Linked DNA regions of Notamacropus eugenii. The protein of the gene in region 2 interacts with the protein of the main gene of each other region in a pairwise test. Links are inferred from orthologs where the notes say so. Each region holds a gene or a part of one and is shown on either strand. Other genes may lie near its edges. The genes, in order: DYRK1B and TROAP.

Region 1 (10,816 bases), on a different chromosome or scaffold from region 2:
GGAGGAAGAAGAGGAGGCTGGGGCCGGGCCTGGGGGAGGCTTGTGGGCCACATCTCCCCCTGCCCAAGGGCGCAGTGGCTGGGAAGGTGGGACCTGCCAGGAAGAAAGGCATGGGGTACGATCAACCACGTCAAGCAGGCACCAGCCTCTAGGAGGATGGTTCACATAGGCTGCAGGGGTCTGGAAGGAGCTCCCTCCCCTTGTGTCCCCAGGCCCATACCTGGGGGCTGTGCATCTCACAGTCTGTCACTGGAGGCCCTGGGCCCCCACAGTACCGGTTGCTGTAGCGGTAGCTCCGGTTGTCATTGGATGATCCGCTTGAGCCACCTAAGGTAGGAAACAAGTTAGCAAAAGATCTCCTTTAACCCTTCCAAGAGCCCAAGGGGAAAGGAGAGTGACCCTTTGGTTTAAGGTCAGAGACCATAGATTCCCAGGACTGAGGTATGGAGTGGTTGTGAGATTACAGTTTCTACAAGAGCAAAAATGAGATTCAGAGAGATTTTCTCCTGCTTCACGTAGGCATCGAGTGCTTATGCCCTGGGCACATGTGCCTCTATGGCAGTCCCAGGGGCCAAGTTCTCTCCCCCAGTCCCACTCAGGGGGTAGTCCCCGAAGTCCCCCGCACCAGAGCTGGAGACAGAGCTGGCCGCGCTGGAGGAGTGGGAGGCGTCAGGGGCTGGAGAAGGTGAGGTGGATGTGCTGCTCCCCGAGGGCCCTGTGTTGGTCGCCTCATCGGCAGTTCGACGGAAGAAACCATGCTGCAGGGCACCCAGGGGGCTGATGCGGGCGGCCGGCTCATACTCCAGCATGCGCAGCACCAGGTCCTGGAAGCGGAGGTAGTCGGCTGTGCTATGGCCTGGCTCACCTGCCCGCCGGCCCCCGGGGCCGCCCGTCTGCACACCCAGCACCTCCTGCAGCCGCCGTGTGCCGGGGCCTTGGTACTCCTAGGAAAGAGGAGAGGCGTCATGGGAGGGGGAACATGGAGGAGAATGGGACAGGAATAAAAGAATTCCTAACTGTAACGACAGCGAGGAAAGATGGATCGGAGAAAAACAGGGAGAAGGGAAGGAAGGATGGAAGGAGCAGAAAAGGATATTGGGGAAGTGACTGCAGACAAGCCACCCAGGAGGAAGGCACTTTAGATGGGGTTTAGAGGGGCGGTGGCAGGCACATAAGAGCAGAGCGGCTCACCTTCCTGAGGTCTTTGCTCCTCCGGAGGGTCCAGCCCCCTCCAGGCAACCTGTCAAAGTACTTCCTAGCTTTGGGAGCTTGCTCCAGCATGGGAGCTGGGGGCAGTCCCAACACTTCCACAATCCTGTTCATCTGGTCCACCTGGGCCAAAGGGCAGGACAGAGCAGTCAGGCTCACCACCCTCCACTGGCTGTCCCTGGGCCTGCCTCTTTGATTCTCCCAGTCTGAGCCTCACCTCATTAGAACCACTGAAGAGGGGCTCTCCTGTGTGCATCTCCACAAGAATACAGCCTAAAGACCACATGTCAATGGCCAGATCGTACGGTGTCCCCAGAAGCACCTCAGGGGAGCGATAGAAGCGGCTTTGGATGTACTGATAGATCTGGGGAGAAAGGAGGCTTGGTCAGGGCCTCCTGGGTACCTTGTGGTTGCCTGCCCCCAGCCCAGATTGGGAGATGGTTCCCCCAGGGTGAGTGGCCCATGGCCGCCATGTACCCGCTGGCCCAGCTGACAGGAGCTGCCGAAGTCGACGATCTTGATGGCGCTGCGCTTGGGGTTGCACAGCAGGATGTTCTCGGGCTTGAGGTCGCAGTGGATGATGCTGAGCTCAGGCGTGGCCAAGAAGAGCAGGGCTGTGCAGAGCTGCTGCGCCAGCTTCCGGGTCAGGTTCAGTGAGACTCCCCGGAAGTGTGTGTTGCGCAGAAGGTCGTACAGATTGTAGGAGAGGAGCTCGAAGACCAGACACAGGTGGTTCCGGAACATGAAGTGTCGTTTTAAATGCACTGGAGGAGAAGGCGCAGGGACATGCGGTGGCAGCTTGGACCTCAGCCTCCAGCTCCACTCTGTGCCCACCTCCCATGGCTGGCCACCCGCCGCCTGCCTTGCTCCCAGGCCTCACCGATGTAGTACTTCATCTCCGTGTCGTGCTGGTTCATCAGCTCGAGCAGCCGCAGCTCAATCTGTGCCTGGTTCAGAAATGCCTTCTTGTTCTTAATGATCTTGATGGCCACCAGCTCCTGGGCCTGGTGGTCATAGGCCTTCACCACCTGGGAGCGACAGTGGGGATCAATGGGGATGGATGGGAATTAGCAGGTCTCTCGGCCCCAGGATGGATCCCAAGGGGAAGAGACATAGTCAGGCAATGTTCTAGCTCAGGCATCAATAGTACGACTTGAGAGGCAGCCGAGAAAACTCAGGCTTGCACATAGGTCTCGGGATGTGGGGTGCAGGAGAGGAAAGTCACCTTCTCTGGCTTTCAGAGGATGGAAGCCTACCTCTCCCTGAGGTGTCTCACTCATTCTGATTCCCACCTGCCCGAAGGAGCCCTTCCCGATGAGTGAATCGATCTCGTATCGCTCCAGCCACCGTTCCCCGCTTCGCACAATGTAGTCATGGTTGTCGTCATCATAGCCGTGATTCAGAACCTTCCTCTCTTTCTTTGTGCTCGCATCCTCTGGGGGTCCCTGCTGGGCCCGACGCTTCTTCTTGGCGTAGTACACCTGGGAACAGAGAATGTAGAGGATGGTAAGAAGAGATATTGGGAGTCACTGCCCAGCTCAGTCCCAGCTCCTGCCCAGGGTCCAGCCCACCTCATTAATGTGCTTGTAGGTCTTGATAAGGTCCACAGAGAGCTTTCGTAGTGGGGCGGAGGTGGCATCCCGAAAGGCCAGCGGGAGCCGTCGCTGTAGCAGCCTGACATCTGGCACCACCTAGGAGGGGGAAGGACATGTAAGGGGCCAGGCTTCAACCCCTGACCTCCCTTTCCAACCCTCCCACGCTCACAGTTCCATTGTCCTACAGAACCTTGTGCTCTAGGTACGACAACTGTTACCCCCATTTTACAAAAAGGAAAACTGAAGCTCTCTCAATAACTTTCTCAGGATTGCACAGCTGACCAGCCAACTATCAGTCCAGTTCTACCTCCCTGCCACACTTTGTCTTTTAACCTTTAACCTTGAACAATTTCCCCACAGACCCTTGGAGTGTCTGATGGCCAAAGTTGGGGCAGGGACTATGATACTATGGAAGGGAGCTGGATTTGGATGGAGTCTGAGGACCTGGGCCCAAATCCCAGCTCAGCTACTTCCTCCCAGTGTGACCCTGGAAAGAAGGCTTAACCTCTCTTTAGGCCTCAGCTGCCTCATCTGTAAAATGAGCAGGAGATGACCTCAAAAGTTCGGGTCAGCTCTAAGTCTGTAACCCTCAGATCCTAAACTAGGATCTCCTTTTCCTGACCCAGATCCTTCAACTGTCCATCTGCACTTTCTAGATCTTACAGCTCATGGATGATTCAACACCAGACCCTTCAATTTCACGTTTTTCCCTAAGGCCTGTCCTTTTGCCCCCTCCCCCCTGCCAGAAACTCAATCCAGGGTTCCACCTTTCACCAGGAGCTAGATTAGGTGCTACCTGTGTATGCTCCTGGGGGGCTGGAAAGCCGGAGAAAGGACCATGGCTGGGAGGGGCGGCCATGTCCGGCTCAGAGGGCCGAAGGGAAGGAAGGCCCGGAGCAGGAGCCCGGCTGGGGGGCGACTTCTCGCATCCTGCACCACAGCTGCTGCCACCAGCACCGCCGGGACCTGGAGGGAGGGAGTAGAGGAGATGGGATGTGGGGGACGGGCACCACGGAAGGGAGGGGGCAGGCCAGAGTATCACGGAGCCAGGACAGACAGACAGAGAAAAGGGCAAAGGCAGCTAATTAGGGATGGGGTGAAAGAGACCAGTAACAATGAAGGGCCAGAGCAGAGCCGGTCAGGAGCCTGTGACAGCCCTTCCCCCATGCCCCCAACAACAGAGGAGAGGCTGGAACTCTCCCAGTCTCATACCCACTCCTCCCCAGCTGATAGCCACTCTCCATGGGAGGGGGGGAGCACAAAGGGAAGGCATTTGGATATGGGGGAGTTCTCATCTGACACCAGGGAGTGCCCCGAGTTACACCCACGTGAGAAAGGGGGCTGGTGAGCCCCCACTCGGCACCCCCCCCCCCCTCTCATACCCACGCTGGGGGGCTGTCGGGAGCCATGGGCAGGTGGCCGGCGGGGTCCCCAGTCTGGCAGTCGGGCAGTCAGCATCTCGGGCAGGGAGGGTGGGAGCCCCGAGGGGACACGGAGGTGGAAGGGTGACCCGTCTGAGGGAGGGGAGGCCCCCCCAGTCCCTGCCCGGCCCTGTCCTGTCCTGTCCGCTGGGTGACAGCAGCAGCCGCTGGGAGGGGGGAGGGGGGTCAGCCGAGGTTGCCTAGAGGGGGGGCAACTGAGCAGGTGGAAGGGGGGAGAGGGGGAAGGGAGGATGGGGTTAACCCTACAGCTGCTGGGCTGGGACTGGGACAGGCCTCCCCCCCACTTCCAGCCTGGCCTATCTGCTAATCAACCCTGGGGTCGCACCGGGGGCCAGAGAAGCCTCTCCTCCGACGCCCATAGCACCCCAGCAGCCCGGCCCGGCCGGCCCGGCCCGGGCCCCCCCTCCCCTGGCTCCCCCCCGGCGGGGGAGGGGGAGGAGGTGCTGAGCTCGAGGGGCGCCCGCTCCGGCTCCCGCCCCGCCCCGCCCCGCCTCCCGCCTCCCGGGCTCGGGCTCCCGCTCCCCGCGGCGCACACGAGGCGGCTGCAACATGACCCCTGCCATGGCAACAGGCCTGCCATTGGCCCGAGGGGCTCGGCGAGTCGGCCAATGGCGGGGAGCCGGCCCGCTGTTGCCAAGCGACCGCGATGCGGCGGGTGGGGGCCCGCGCCGGCTCTTGCCCAAACAAAGAGCGGGAGAGCGAAGGAAAGGGGAGGGAGGGGGGCAGGGGGAGGGGGCCGGAGAGGCCGCGGCTCCGCCCCCGGCCCGGCTGCCCGGCCCCGCCCCGGCCCGCGCCGCGCTCCCCCGGGGCCGGCCCCTTCCAGGAACCCAGCTATAAATAGCGGCCCCGCCCCCTCCGCTCCCCTCCCCCCGGGCACCTGGTCCGGCGCCCCTCCCCCACCCCGCCGGGCCCGGGACAGCGCGCCCCCCCACCCGCTCCGCCCCACCCCGCCGCCCAGGGAGGGGCGGCCCTAACGGTCGTCCCGTGCTCCCCCCGACCCCCTCCCCGGGGCTAACGTTCGGCGCGGGGGTGGAGGGCGGCGCGCCGGAGGACGGATGGGCTAGAGCGGACGGGCACGCGCCCCCTCCCCTCCCCCAGCCCCGGCGGGCGCGCGCGCGGCCGTTACCTGTGGGCGGGGGGTGCCGGGCCGTAGGGGGAGGGGCGGAGCGGAACGCGCGGGGCAGGCGGCGGCGGCTCAGCGCCCCGGGCTCATCCCCGCGCGGGAAGGCTGGCGGTGGCGGCGCGGGCGGGCTGCTCCAGTCAGATCGGCAGCGGCCCGGGGTCCCCAATTACCCAGTAATGCAACCAGCAAAATGGCGACCACAACAAACCGGCCCCCCCGGCCCGGACTCCGCCCCCTGCCCCCTCCCATCCTCCCTCGACACGTGACTCAGGCACCGGGCCGCCACTCCGTGCGCCTGCGCCAGCTATACAAGAGACATGCGCGACATCTAAGTTGGGGCCCGCCCCGAGCGCGCAGAAGGCAGCAAGACGAAGCATGCGTCGCAGAGGTCGACGCCCGACCTCCGCGGGTAACCACAGGGCGAACAGCGGCGGCTCGCCTCAGTGCGCAGGCGCGCAGCCTGGCCGTCCTTCCACCGCCCCCCTTTAACCCTTTGAGAATCCAGGAGTCACATGGGGTCACACCTTTTAATAGAAAATACAAAGATCTGACACAAAACAGTAGAAAAAGAGGAAGGCGGGGCGGGGACGGGAGAAGCAACAGCTACTTGGCAGCTACTTCCTTCTGCTTGGGGGGAGGCCTGTGAGGAGAAAGGAGACGTCAGAGCCCAGGCAGCACCCCGATAACCCCCAAGAAACCCTGCTGTGCCCAGGGACCCCACCCCCCCCATCCCCAGAGCAATAGGACCCCTGCTGTGTCCAGGAACCACGCCCCCCCCCCCCGCCATCCCTAGAGCAACAGGACCCCTGCTGTGCCCAGGAGCACCCCCCCCCCCCAAATGGGGCCCCTGCTGGGCCCAGGCACCCCTTACCCCCAGCACAATGGGGATCCTCCCAAGGCTTACCTGTACACACCCACCACCACTGCGTGATCTCGCTCATAGGGCTCCAAGGTGAGCTGTTCCTGTGGCTTCATGTTTTCCTGCTGCATCTTCTTGACTTCTGAGGCAAACACAGCTTCAGGGGAGGCTGTGGAGTCTATGCAGTTGGCCTGGGAGAGGTGGTGGTCATGAGGACACAAACCTATGGCCAGGCCTCCTCCCCTCACTTCTGAATTTGGCCAGGGAACTTTACCTTAATGGAGATCACAAAGTGTCCACCGTTGCGCAGGAAGTTGTGTGCATTGAGAGCCACAATTCGGGACTGGTCTGGCTGGGCCACATCAGCAAAAATCACATCCACCATCCCTGGAGGCAGAGGAAGGAAGGGCACCAGCCACAGTTGGCACAGAGTCGTCAGGCTCATCCCTGTGTCCCATCTCATCTCTTAGCCCTCTACTCCCCCCTGCAGACTGCCAATCCAATCTCATGGGATGGCTCTGAACACACCAATCCCTGACTTAGCCGAAACCTTCTTCCGTTCCCCATGGTCCACAGGATAAAGGCCAAATTCAGAGGCCAGCTGCCTCCCAGAAATTAAAATCACACTCCTTTCTAATAAATAATAATAGCATTTACATAGCGCCTTAAAGTTTGCAAAAAGCTTGACAAAAATCTTTTTTTAAACAGCCGAGGAAATCAAGTCCCCTGCAGATTAAGTGATTTGCCCAGGGTTACACAGCTTATCTAAGGTGGCATTTGAATTCAGGACCTTCCAGCCCCAACTTGGTTGCCTTCTCTAGCCACAGCACAGATCATTTCCGCCCCACAGCCCTGTCTATGGAGGTAGGGATGCCCCAGGCCTTCACCAATGAGCATTCGGTATTTGTGGGGGTGTCGCGCATCCTCAATGACAGGAATGATGTTTGTCCTCTTCTTGGCCACGTTGATGAGGTCTCGGCCAGATCGATGAGAAAACTCAACAGCGTAGACCAGACCTTCCTGAGGGGCAGAGGAGAGCTCACTGTCCTCACCTGTCACATGATCAAGAACCCACCACCAAGCCCTTCCTCCTAAGACTCAGAGCACCTGCGACCTGGGGAGCAGCAGGAGCCATGCAAAAATCAGCAGGTATCATTCTGTGCCATACTTCCTGCCCTCAAACCCCTTTGTTCAGAGTTCAGTAGCAGGTGAAGAATCTCTTCAATGTACCTCACCGCTAGCTCTTTGGGTTTTGTATTTAAGCAGTTAGGAGGTGGCAGCAGGCCCTCCCTATTCTTATTCTATTTGTGAAAGTGGAGAAGGGTTCCCCCAGACTCACAGGGCCCACAATGTCAGAGACATGTGAGACAGTAGTGCCAGATGCTGCTCCCAAGTAGAGTACTTTGGCCCCAGGTCGGATATGGATCTGATCCACTCCACCTAGGATGGCTGCAGCCAGTTTTGATCGGAAGGGGTTCCAAGCACGGTATTCCAACTTCGCCTCACCATCCTGAAAGGGTGGAGGAAATCAAGAGTCAACTCTTCATACTCTGGCCCTCCACTACCTTCCCTATGTCCTATACCTTACTCCCTTTCCCAACATAACTTGGGATTCAGCGACAATGGTGGCCTTGCTGATCTGCGGGATGCTCCGTCTCCCAACTTTGGCATTTTCACTGGTGACATGCTCCCCCAGAACTGGAAGGCTCTCCCTACCTCCTCTATCTCCTACCTGCCCTGGCTTCCTTCAAACCTGAAATTCCATTTTCTACAAGAAGCCTTTCTCAATGCCCCTCTATACTGTCTCCCTCAGGGATCATCTCTAATTTATTCTGTACTGTATATGACTTGTTTCTATATGATAACTGCCATGTCACCTTTCCCACTAGACTGTTTTGTGAGCAAGGACTCAGTAAATACTTCATGACTGACTGAAATGGGAGCCTGTCCCACATCCCCTCCCACCACAAGGTCCCATCCTCACCTCCACAGTGATTCTCTTCTCACCATAGACTGACTCCCCGGGTACCATGTTCTTTGTGACCAGAGCATCTTCTTTCCCTCGACAAATAAAAACTCCTGAAAAAAAAAAAAAGAGGGGCCAATGTGACTCATGGGCACCCCCTTCTTCTCTACCAGGCATCCCCTGTCTCTGAAACGAGGAAAACTGGTAACAAAGAAAACAAAACTGCACAATGGCCGTTTTGCCACTTTCTTTGCTAAGAAAAGTGGCACTGGACATGTCCTCACTCACCCTCATGTCGATGAGGCTCCACAGTGACCTTCTTTCCTCCTTGGAAACCTCCTCTGCCACCCCGGCCTCGACCCCGGGGGGTGCCTCTGCCCCGACCCCCAGGGGACTGGAACCCTCCTGCGGGAGGCAAAGATTCCTTGCTGGCTGGACAGTCCAACATAGATCCCGGAGGAAGTGCTCCTTCCCTCCACCCCCGTGAGCCGGCGACCTCAACTCACCTCGGCCACCTCCTCGGCCACCGCGATCTCCAAAGCCGCCCCGGCCACGGCCCCCGAAGCCTCCTCGGCCCCCGAAGCCTCCTCGGCCCCCTCGGTCACCACCTCTGCCACGACCTCCGAACCCCCCCCGGCCCCCCCCTCGGGGGCTGAATCCTGCGGGCAAAAAAATAAGTTAGCCAGAAACTTCTTCGGCCGCTTGCCAGCTCACCCGGACCCCAGGTGACGAGGAAGCTCCACGTTCACGTTCATGGGAATGGGGGGAGGGGGACAGCCCCACAGCACGGGAGACCCTTTATCACGCCCCAAACTGCTGTCAGTGCATCTGGGAGATGAGACAGAGAAGCCCGCCGTCCCCTACGGAGGAACCCGGGAGGCCCAGGGAGGGGTGGGGGTGCTGAGGCTGGAGGCCCTTCCCTCCTCTCCCCGGAGCAGCTCCGAGGAAGGGCCCAGCCCCTCCCACCCCCGCGGTGACAGCCATCCCAGCCTGGCTCCAGGGGGAGGGTCCCGGCCCGATCGGGCAGGCCCACCAAACCCGGCCTCGGGCCTCGCGAAAGCTGCGGGCAGGACGCGGGAGTGCGCGGCTCGAGCTCCAATCCGGCCCCAGACCCTTCCCAGCTGCTACCCCAGGCTGCCTGCCTCAGTTTCCTCGCCGGTAAAACGGGGACCGTACCAGAGCCGCCCCTCCGCGCCGGGGGCGAGGAGGGCTGGAAAGCGAGAGAGCGGAGAAGGCGCCACGGTCCGCGGGCCTCCGGCTACCGGCGAGTCAACTGAGGCGCGCAAGCCCTGGCCCGGCCCCAGTCTGGGCCCGCCAGTCCTCCCCAGCCCGGCCCCAGTCTGGGCCCGCCAGTCCTCCCCAGCCCGGCCCCAGTCTGGGCCCGCCAGTCCTCCCCAGCCCGGCCCCAGTCTGGGCCCGCCAGTCCTCCCCAGCCCGGCCCCGCGCTCACCTGGCTTCATGGCACGCGGCTCGCTCTGCGCAGGAAGCGGAAGCAGCAGCGGGGTCGCCCCGCACGGCGGCCGCCAGCAGACACGCGGCCACCGGGCCTCCAACACCCCCGGTTACAGCCCGCAAGGGAAGCAAGAGGGGATTGGCGTGCCCGGCGCCGGGTTACGTACGTAAGCACGCACGCAGCACGCACGCAGGCAGGAACGCGAAAGCTCCGAGACGGGTCTTCTCTCGCCTGCGCAGTCTAGGTTTACCCGGTACCTTTCTCTTGTCCCCGCCTCCCCGGTTGTCCCTTACGTCACCTCGCAAGGGACGGTGGAATCCTGGGAAAAGTAGTCCTACGAAGTCCCAGGCCGGGGCCGCAGCATTTCCGGGATCGAGAAGGCGGGGAGGGCCACGTAGGGCGTCATGACGTCACGAGGGCGCCAGGAGGCCGGGGTGCCCTGTCGGGAAGTGTAGTTTTGAACAGATGCTTTTGTCTCCTAGGAGACGTCGAGAATGGGTCCGGAAGTGACTCGTGGCCTCGTGAAGGTGGCGGCGGCCTCCTGCCGCAGTGCCTGGGGAGGCCGCGAGGCGGCGGTTTCTCTCGCTACCTGTCTCTGTTCTTCCTCCTCTGGTTCCAGCAGGGCGGCGCTCCTCAAAGTTTGGTGAGAAACACACGTTATTCCACGATCCTCCTGGGCACCAGGCGCTGAGGAGCCGGAACGGAGGCCGGCCCTGCCCTCCGGGAGCTCCCACCTGAGGGGGAGGGGCCGCGCGGCGAAGGAAGCTGAAAGGTGGGGGGAGGGGCAGGCCCCTGGCGTCAGGTGGGAGGGGTCCGGGGAAAAGCTTGATGTCAAAAGAAAGTGTATGGTGACATATTTGCGGTATTTCTGGATCTGTCAGCTTCAGTCTGTCTAGCTATTTCATTCTGGTGGAAGTATATGAGGTGTATTTACCCAGATACCTAGTTGGAAAAGGGGCAGGTTTTTGAACAGGCAGATAGCCTCTGGGTATAAAACATGGTTTTGGCCTCATGGATCCCCCTGACCTAAGGGGTCCTGGGCAATCTTGAGGAGTCTTTTTGAGCACCACCGATGTAGGGGATGAAAGGAGATCTTGTTCAGCATATTAAAAAATAATCCATTTCTATGGTTCCGCTTTCACTCCCCCCCTTCTGAGTTATTCTATGGA
Region 2 (10,239 bases):
GGTCCCATTTGTACTCAAATAATTGTGTTTGCTAAGAAAAGGCCTGAGAGCAGAGACAGAGGGCAAAACAAGATCCCCAAGATTTGCTTCTTCTGAGGAAGAACCAAAAGGCACTTTACCCAGAACTTTGGTAAGTAAGGAGTACATGTGAGAAAAGCTGGAAGGGGATCTTTGGAGTAAGTTCAGAGTCAGATAGAGGTTGGACTTCACGTCAGTAACAACTCCCATCCACTGCAGTGTACTGCTCCTCACCCAGGGCAAAAGCAGCCTCCTCAAGTCAAAACCATAGAGACAGGCTGATCACACATGACCAAGGAAATATCAACACACTGACCCACAAACTCGAGTCGGGAGGAAGATTTAGAACAAAGGCAGAGGGGATGCCAAACCACACAAGCCCCACTGCTTTGGTTCTCCAGGTCTCCATTCTTTCTGGCAGTATGCACACCACTTCCTGCTCCCTCTTACCTGCTGAACCCTGGGAGTTGAAGCAGGGGTGGCCTGAGGAGTCTTGGAGAAGACAGCCAAATGACGTACCACAGAATAGGAGGTCTGTGAAGAAATCAGAAAGTGACTGGAACTTGTTAGGCTGGACAACTCACACTTGGGTGACTTCTTTAATCCTAACCCCACGTATGTACAAACCAGAGCTTGTGGACGGGTGACAGGTACACGACTGGCCAGTCCAAAGGGCGAGGCATGGCCTACCTGGCCAGGAGTGAACTGAAGAGAAGAGGTCCAAGGGGAGGTAGGACTATCCTATGGGGGAAGAAGGCAAAGAAAAGTGGGACAGAAAACACCAATTTACCTTGCTGATACCTTACATTACCCTGAAGGTACTGTAGAAATGGTAAATAGAAATGGATTACTGCTAACTTATCCACTGGAGAGAGACTAGAAGGTTGGGGCAGAGATAGTTTCATTTTAGGAAGGTCTGGATCTGTTCTGTTTCAGACCAGACCTCTGAACCATGTAATACCCTTCTGAATATATTGATACTACCCTACCCACCTGTTCTTATCCTCAGTGCTACCTGCTACTGGGGGATTCTCTCAAAGGCTGGAACTTCCTATCTCCCCCATTCCCAAATATCCTCTATCTCCACTCTCTAAGGTCCTCTCTGGACGCTGATCTCACCATGGGGAGAGGGGCACCATGTATTCCTTTACGTTGTACCTGCTGAGCGAGACTGTGAGTTTCCAGTCTACTTTGGGAACCATTCAGCACTGTGGAGAAGGCAGGGATTTTCGGCTCTCCTGGGGGTTGGTGAGCTATATAAAGGATAACGCTCGTTCAAACATTTGTTATATGCAATATACTGTGCTAGATACCATGGAGGTGAAAGCAAATAAAACAAAGAAAGGTTAGATCATACACTCAAATGAGAATGATAAGTCTAACAGAGGGGCATAAAGTCCTATGAGGCCAGATAGTGGGAGAAATCACTTCTGGCTAGGGACTGGAGAATCAGGGAAGGCTTTGTAGGGTTGGTCCTATTTGAGCTGAATCTGGAAAGATGAGCAAGACATTAGGGGGGAGAACAGCACGATCAGAAGATTAACTGATTCAACAAATATTTACTGAACACCAACAACAGGTTCAACCCTGTGAGCTGAAAATGTCAATTTAACCAGCAGAACATAAGCTTCTTGAGAGCAGTGCTTTTTCATTTTGTCTTTCCATCCCCCTTCCCCCTAACTCCCCTCCTTGCCCTAGAGGTCTGGCATAGTGCTTTGCACATAGTAAGTGCTTAATAAATGCTAACTGGATTGGAATTGGTATTTAATGTATACCTGTGTTAAGGTTATGAGGCAACTAGGTGGTCAAATGGATAGAGTGCCAGGCCTGAAGTCAGAAAGACTCATCTTCCTGAGTTCAAATCTGGTCTCAGACACATATTAGTTGTGTGACCCTAGGCAAATCACTAAACCCCGTTTGCCTTAGTTTCCTCATCTGTAAAATGAGCTGGAGAAGGAAATGGCAAACCACTCCAGTATATTTGCCAAGAAACTCCTAAATGGGATCTGGAAGAGTCAGACATGACTGAAGAGTAACCTGTTAAGACTATGTATAGGCAAAATTTCAGAAGTAGCTTGCTAAATTGGGGACCGTTATTTTCCTGAGGGGTGGGGAGATGAGTGATAGTGATAATCACATCCACTTGGTAGGGTAGGAAACTTTCAGATGGTACCTATGGAAAACTGTACTTGAGGGCAGAAAGAATGTTAGTTAGAAAGAGGCATCCCCATGATCATGTACTCTCTAGTTTATACCTCTTGGCTCCAAGCTTTGATAATTCCATTCTACTTCTGTAATAAGTTATCTCATTTTCACCTCACCTGGTAGCCTTGTTCTTGCCCAGGACTGTCCTGAATCACTGCCCATCTGGGTCCTGATATCAGAGGGAACAGGAGTGTTGAATTATGCTCCACCTGTCAACTCAGGACTATCCCCCTGTGAAGTACAACTATTGACATAGTCCAGTGCACCCCAGGACCACTTGGAATGGTGGGGATTTCTGATGACACATCAGCAAGATCCTGGGTTACTAGTGATCCCTGCTCTGGAAGGTCAGGAAGGGTCTGAGGAAGCTAACACCATGGTGAAAGCTCTGTTATATTGAACTAGGTTTTTTATATTCCCCCTCCCTCAAGTTCTTCTGTTTATTTGAGTGTTAAGGCCAGGGGTAGCCTCATACGTTAGGTCATTTCTTTTCAGTGAGGTATCCGATCATGCCCCTGTACCTACTGTGGAACAAGCCCCTCTGAACCCAGACCCACTCCTTACTGGCTGATGATGTTTCTTTCTGTTGACTCTTGATTGCTATGACTGAATCTGGTATGACGTCCTGGGGTCTGGACCTAAAGCAGAATAGTAAAGGGTAAGAGTGCAATCCACCATCTACCTCTAAGTCTCATCTCAAACTCCACTGCAACTCTTCACACCCATTCCTTTCAGTACAACAATCCAACATTTACAAAGTCTTTACTATGCACAAAGTGCTGTGGATACAAAGGAAAAATAAAAACAGGCCTTGATCTTAAGAGTGGGTTTGGGGGCAGGTGAGAAGAAGGTTGTACAGAATATGGGCCTTAGCTGAAGGCTTTTAAAAGGCACCCATGAGGAAGGAAGATATTCCATGTAAGATGGATTGTAGGTACAGCAATCTTTACCACTATCCCTCTCTAGATGAACTGCATCTCCTTGAGGCCTTGCTGTCCCCCCACCCTCCATGACTACAGAGCCAGGAATAATTTTATTTTATCCTACTTACTACCTCTTACATCCTGAAGATCTAGCATAGTCCCTTGAACATAGAAGGTATTTAATACATGCTGATTGGAACCTGGTACCATTATTGAGTGCTTATTAAGGCTCCAGAGTAGGGGTTCTTAACTTGGGATCCATGAGCTATCAACAGGTCCATGAATAGATTTCAGGGGGTCCATGAACTTGGATGGGGAAAAATATTACACTTTTATTTCAATAGAACTGGGTTTTTTGGTAATCTTATGTATTTTATTTTAGACATTTTAAATCATTATTCTAAAAGGGGCTTCACCAGACTGCCAAAGGGATCTGTAACAAAGAAAAAGCTCAGGAACTTTTGCTTTGGAGCCTGAGACCTGATTGTTTTGGGCCACCAGAACTGTGGAAATTCCTTGAACTTGAAGATGTTGGGGAATGCATGATCTGGCCCACAGGCCCTATTTCAATCATGAAAACCCAGAAAACTGAACAGAATCCATTATGTCTGTAGAGATCTTAAGGACCCCAGAGAAAGGTTTCATAGTCTGAGAACAGAACCAGCTGCTGTTAACACAAGGCTAGAGACCTTTTTTTCTACCCAGATATCCCTTATTCCCTCTACTCACCTGTCTCCCACAGAGGGCACCTTTTTGATTTTGGTTTCCCCGGATCAACACTCTTTGGGCCAGACCACTCTGGCAGCTGTAACCACTACTAGTCACCTCCATACTTGACAGCATAGTGGCCAAATCTCCAGGGTCCACTGAAGGAAGAAAGGTGATAGAAAGGAGTGACAGTAAGTGAAAGGTAGAAGGGAGAAAGTATATTGCCTCTAGGTGAAACTAGTCCCACACTACCATCATAGGGATGCCCAAGGACAGAACCTCCAGGCACTTAGTCTTGCTTCTCTCCTAGTCGACTTCACTTTGGCCCCTTCTATTCCATCTAAGTCGTGGTTAACGGCCAAGAGAGCTGTATTTCTTGACCTTAAAGCAGTACCTGGCCTAGGTGGAGGATCAGCCTCCACATTTTGCCCCACAGAGGCAGGGCTGATGTCCTCCAGTGGGGCCCGGGGTCGAAGATTTCCCTTCCGGCCCGAAGTCTGCTGTTTCAGCTTGTGTCTAGGGCTGACTAGGTCTTTCTGGAGAAGCTGAGCACCAAACTTCTTCTGCATCATCATCCCCTAGGGGAAAGGAGAGAACAGAAATTTGGGGTTCAGTGTGAGCGCTGGGAAGAAATTGGAACCTCTCTGCACCTCCATTCCTTCCCTCCCCGCTCCACCCCAGCCCCCCGCAGGGGACCAGCCTGGCTCTAGCTCACCTTGGGATCCCGATTCTCTTGGCCGGAGGCTTGGTCCTCCCCACCAGAAAGAAGCAGGCATTTCCGGGCCAACACGGGAATCCTGCTGGGGGTGGAGAAGGCAGTTTGCAGGGGAGTGTCCATCAGATCCCCACTGGTAGTCGTCATGACCACTCCTGGGGTGGGGAAGGACCAAGGTCCCGGCCTTCTGCTCCCCCTTCCCCCTGTCCACAACACAGCCCAAAAGCCCGCACCAACGCCACGCTCCCTGCTCCTTCCCAGCCCAGCGGCCAACTAGGGCAACCCACTTCTTTTCAGTTTGTAAAATACTCATTCAGAGCTTCTGATTGGCCCGTCCGCTCCCTCGTACGGAGCGTGGACTGGAACCCTGGCGTCCAATCCACCGACAGTAGGCGTGCCCCGTCTGATGGGCAGGGAAGGGGGCGGAGCGCTCGTCTCTGCTCCCCCTCCCCTTTTCCTCCTTCCCCACTCTGAGAGGATGGGCGGCACCCCACCACAGATCCTGGGGTGGCAGGAGGGGAGGAGAAGGAGCTGCCTGGGCAGGGAGTCGAAGTGGGAAGAAAGCGGTAGGGATAAGTCCCCTGAGATCCCGCTGCCGGGAGAGGGGATGAGCCCTCGGGAGGTGGGGGGAGGGGGGGATATTGACAGGTCGGACCTGACGTCATCCCTGGCGGAGACATTTTGAAAGGTCGGTGGACTTCTGCGGGGGGCGGTGCGGGTATGCCACTCAGTCCCTCTCCTGCTCTTAAGCTTTCTACGGCTCCCCATGGCTCACCAAATAAAGTCCATCTGGTATCTCTTTTTAGTGAGACGCTTCATGACGTGGTATAAACACCTGGACTTTGACTCGGTGCGCGCTTGTAATCCACCTTCCCAAGGGAGCTCTCCAAACCTCAGTGCCCTCAGCTATAGCTATCCCATTTTGCACCCTCCCCCTCAAGGAAGGTGGTAATCAGGTGAATGGATTCGATTTATCCTGGCCTTCCAGCATGTTTCTCTCACAGTTTTCCCTCAGGAACTCTTTATTTACTCTGTCCCCTATCGCTTTCCATTAAAACCCTATCTTACCCTGCCCATCTCAAATACCACTTTGTTGAAGCCTTCCCTGAAGTTCCCATAGCTGCATCTTACATTGCCGCTCGTTCAGACCTCTCTTATACGCTTACGACCACGTATTATTTCTAGTTAGAGCAGCAGTCATTGCATTTGCAATATTGTTGGGTTTTTTAAAAATTTCTGTGAGGACCAGAAAGCCACACAAGTTTCCACAGTTTCCAAAAAAATTTGTGACTCTCCCAGTTCTGTCTAGGACTTAGAGAGGACAAGATAGCTGTATCGTCCCAAGTGCGTTCTGAATTTTGTTGTTTAGTCGAGTCTGACTCTTTGTGACCCTCTTTGGGGTTTTCTTGGTAGAGATAATGGAGTGGTTTGCCATTTCCTTCTCCAGCTCGTTTGACAGATGAGAAAACCGAAGCAGACATGGATAAGTGACTTACTTGCTCAGGATCATACCGCTAGTTATCTGAGGTCAGATTTAAATTCAAATCTTCCTGACTGCAATGCTCTATCCACTGTACCACCTAGCTGCCCTTGCATTCTGGATAAAATGATACTAGCATTCATGACATTTAACACAAATAGCTCTCTCTGTCCCTGTTTTATCTCCACTAGTAGACCATAACTCTTTACATATTCTTTGTAAAACTCTCCAACAATTCCTATCATAGTATGCATATAATATGCACTCAAATATTTGTTGAATGGATAAATGAATGATGGTTCCATTGAGGGTAGTTGGTTGAGCCCGTTGTCTGAAAAACCTGGGACAAGGTGACAACTTCACAACCTCAGGGAGGAAAAGGGTGGGAAAGAGTTGAGAGTTGAGGGGGAAAGGGCAGCTGAGGGAGGTCCATATTTTCACTTCTGCAGGGGGACTGTGTCTTGGAGAATCAATCAAGCAACATTTATTAAATGCCTATTAAGGGTGCTAGAGATACAAAGAAAGGCAAAAGAGCTCAAGGAGCTCACAAACTAGCAGGGAGAAGACAACATATAAAAAGAAGCTGAAAGGGGGGATGGGGAGAGGGTCCCTCATAGAAGGGAATAATGAGATGACTGCACTGGGCCCCCTCCTTAACTGGAGATCTGGGATGGGGTGGGGAAGAGCTGTCTACTGTCCACCTTCCAGACTGTCCAATAAGAGGGAGGGAGGGGTCCCAAGGCCAGAGGGTACTCAAGAGGAGTGAGTTTCCAAGTAGATTCAGTCATGCTGCAAGATGAATTACTGTGAAAACAGTAAGAACAGTGTAAGAGGAAAGGGACTGAGAAGTTAGACCACTTGTAAGTGATGAGAATAAGTAGCACCGGACTCTCCCTCCTCAAAGATCCTACAGGGCAGGGAAAACAAGTTGGGCTGTCCAAGAGAAGGGTTGCCCTCCTCAAAGATGCCCATGGATGGGGGCCATGGTTTGGAGTTTCTAGCAAAGGGCAGAGGTTTATTTTGGTGTCCTGTCCTTTTCTGAGAAGAGTCAGGGTCATTCTTTAGGTCTATAGAAAGTAATTGAAGAAGATTGATTAGATTCTCCTGTTCATGTTACTTTATACATTTATTGGCAATTTCCCTCTAAATGAGTGATTTTGAATAAACTAACCATTAAAGGGGGAGAAAGATTCAGGTCACATTTGTAAAACTTATAGATTTTAGAGGTTTATTGAAAGATATTTTTCGTAGCTAGGAGAGGTCTCAGGACTGATGGGGATGAGATCGTTTTCTGGTCTGTGTCTCAAGTTGTTTCTTCACCAGCTACCCCAAGACTGTAGGGGCTTTTCACTTCAGATCACCTGAAAAGAATTGGGATAATAGCTCCCCCAGGTGCTAGTGGGGAAGGGCTGGATATTAAGCCCTGGGGTCTCTGAGAAGTTTACCAGATGACTTTCTGGAACAGCAGAGTTCTGCTATCTCAAATCAGTTTGGTGATGGTGGTTTGAGTAGACTAGGTACCAACGCATCTCCCAAAATGGCTCACAAGTTTTTCCATATTTTACAAAAATGGCTCCATTTTTGTCCATATAAAAGATGATTAAATTTTTCTGGTTCCCAGGTATCCTATGGCAGCGATTGGTTAAATGGGATGGTGAGAGTGGGATGGGGATGCAACCTTCTTCTGACTCCTTAGGAGGCAAACTATGTTATCAACAGGAACTAGGTTGCTACAAAAATTTATTTTGCCGGCTGAGATGAGCATTATTACAACTTAAGAAAGAGGGAGGGATCTCCCTACAAACACAATAGTGATCTTTTCGTAGGTAAGTAGAAAACAAAGTACAGAGTTCTCATATCACCCAAATTCGACTTTACTAAAGAATTCTGAAAGAAATCTGCATTCCCAAAAAACACGCATGTTAACTTTGTTGTGATCTCTTTCCACTCCTGCCCCTCTAGGCAGCCTCACCACCCCCTACCCCCTACCAAAAAAAAAACCAAACTCATGGGAAAGATTACCTCACCTCCTTGAAGTGAGGTGAGAAAGGTAACATTTGCCCCACTCCACCCACCTGCCAGGTGTCTGGACACCCACAATGCATCCTCAGCATCAGCTAAAGAGGTGACCCACAGTTGGATTATTACATTACTTGGGATTTGGGGTTTGGTGGGTACTAGGCCCTAAGCACATGTGTCCCTGTGTACGACTGTCTTCCCCTGTCTTTGTCCACATCCAGCTCCAATGTGTCTGGTTTGCACCTCACCCCTACTTCGTCCCAGTTAGGCCAGGCCCTGCTCCGTGTTCCTCTTCCTGCTCTCCCTTCTCTGTCCTTGAATTGTATGCTGCCTCCTTCCCTCCAAGAAGTGGGGTTGTGTGTTGGGGTGGAGGTGCAGCCTTCTTTCAGGCAAATTCGCATGATGTAAAAATCATTTTTTTACACAGAGATCTGCAGAATGTCCACTGAGAACTTCCAGTATACTAAACAATTTTTCTTGCTATTAACTAACTTGACCCCCTGCTCTGGGAAATTGCCTTGGGGTTTGCTTCTAGAGGAAGGACAATAGAACCTTGACTTTAAGGAGTTACAGCTGTGCTTTTGGATTCTTTATATGAAAGAGCTGACTAGATTATGACTGTGGTGGAAGGATCTTTCACAAGTCTTCTAATATTTAGGAGAAAAAAGCCTCAGTTTACGAGTGCCCCTACCTATGTGTGTCTGTGTTCTCTAGTAAGCTGTTTTTACCTGTTTATATTCACAGAGTAACATGGGCATTTGTAGTGGCAAAAAAACGTAAACAGGAAACATCAGTGTTAAGAGTATATAGCTACTGAGAATAGACGTCATGGAAGGCATTGCCGAAGTTGACCTTTTGTTGTCCCTGGCACAGGGTTCTTTGATGGCATTCCCCTTCCCCATGTTGTAGTGGTGTGACCACATTAAAGGTCAGTCCTATGGCCCTTGAGAGCATTGTCTGGCCTGGTGATGACCCTAGAATCGAGTCAGCCTGGGGTGGGGATAGAGCACATGATCGATCGCTCTGCAGGGTTGTAGTAGTGAAGTAGTCTAAAGCCCTGTCCCACCATCCTATCCCATATCAGGCTCTGAGCCAAGGTTTCTTTTGATGGTAACTTTGTTTTATTTATGATAAAAGCAAAATGCAGAGATTTAGCAGAGATGGGGGAAGGGATCCTGGACGGCATATACTCCCAGGTTGCAGGGTAGGGGGAGTTCCCATTGGTGGGAAGGGGACGCAATTAGGATGGATGCTAGGCCACACATATGCAAAAGGGCCAGAAGAAGCCACACTCATGTTGTGGAAGGAGGAGGTCCTATGTCAGGAGAATTGGAGAATGCATCCACAGCACCAGCTAAAGGGGTGACCCACAGGTGGGTCATTACATTACTTGGGATTTGGGGTTTGGTGGGAACTAGGCCCCAAGCACCATGCAGGGTGTAGGGGCCAGTTCAGACCCCTGATATGGAAGTTTAGGGAGAGGGTAGTAGGCATCTTTGGTTCATTAAAGGCTTAGTAGCTGTGAGTGGAAGACTTATCTAGTTCACTCCGCTGTTCCTTATGGGATTCTGTCACCACCTGCTGGAAAGGATAGGTTTAGTGGGGGTTGAAGTCTGTTGGCCTCAAACCCTCCCCATTATGAAAACTGAGGTTTACCTTTCCCTAACATCTGTCCATCACCCCTACCTCCCTGTTGTGGCTCACAGAAATAAAGAACAAAGCTAAAGGCTTCCTGATGGCTCTCAGGTACTTCCCACTTACCTCCCCATCTCGAGTTTCGATGGTCTTGATCACAACCATCTTTCGGCTGTGGGTGTCCGAGGGAAGTTCAGGCTCAGGCACTTAGGAGAGGAGAATATGGGAGGGGAGAACAGGGAAAGGAGATACTCATCATAACAATAATTTACACGTTTTATATAGTTTCACAGCATTTTAAGGTTTATGGCATTTTGTAGATATACTCATTTGAGCCACATAAAAAGTCTGAAGTACTTGGTGCAAGTATAATTATTTCCATTTTACAAGTTAGGAAACTGAGGATTAGTCATGAGAGACCTAGGTTTGTACCTCAGTTTTGCTTCTGGCTAGTTATGTTACCCTGAGAAAGTCACTTAATCCCTTTCAGTTTCCTTAGTTTCCTCATCTGGAATCTAGAGTTTATAACACCTGTA

What was found.
Region 1: the proteins of TROAP (region 2) and DYRK1B interact in binary tests that used the Homo sapiens proteins (3 or more experiments, as listed by UniProt). The link is inferred for Notamacropus eugenii from reciprocal best matches to the Homo sapiens genes TROAP and DYRK1B.

What each region holds. Positions count from the first base shown.
Region 1 is NC_092876.1:32,309,458-32,320,273, forward strand, and holds the start of DYRK1B (dual specificity tyrosine-phosphorylation-regulated kinase 1B), read right to left. Parts: upstream 4,677-10,816; 5' UTR 4,606-4,676; coding exon of another isoform or gene 4,572-4,605; 5' UTR 4,263-4,571; coding exon 4,187-4,262; intron 3,771-4,186; coding exon 3,601-3,770; intron 2,901-3,600; coding exon 2,781-2,900; intron 2,691-2,780; coding exon 2,502-2,690; intron 2,238-2,501; coding exon 2,090-2,237; intron 1,974-2,089; coding exon 1,687-1,973; intron 1,574-1,686; coding exon 1,427-1,573; intron 1,333-1,426; coding exon 1,192-1,332; intron 945-1,191; coding exon 626-944; intron 328-625; coding exon 221-327; intron 94-220; coding exon 1-93. Other genes in the region: FBL (rRNA 2'-O-methyltransferase fibrillarin), read right to left, coding at 5,973-6,009, 6,274-6,419, 6,503-6,615, 7,116-7,248, 7,568-7,738, 8,213-8,307, 8,483-8,599, 8,701-8,853 and 1 more.
Region 2 is NC_092874.1:221,291,004-221,301,242, reverse strand, and holds the start of TROAP (tastin), read right to left. Parts: upstream 4,883-10,239; 5' UTR 4,717-4,882; coding exon 4,570-4,716; intron 4,433-4,569; coding exon 4,249-4,432; intron 4,013-4,248; coding exon 3,876-4,012; intron 2,862-3,875; coding exon 2,788-2,861; intron 2,393-2,787; coding exon 2,340-2,392; intron 1,272-2,339; coding exon 1,177-1,271; intron 760-1,176; coding exon 469-759; intron 1-468. Other genes in the region: PRPH (peripherin), read right to left, coding at 9,581-9,649, 9,830-9,909. UniProt on the Homo sapiens protein: Could be involved with bystin and trophinin in a cell adhesion molecule complex that mediates an initial attachment of the blastocyst to uterine epithelial cells at the time of the embryo implantation.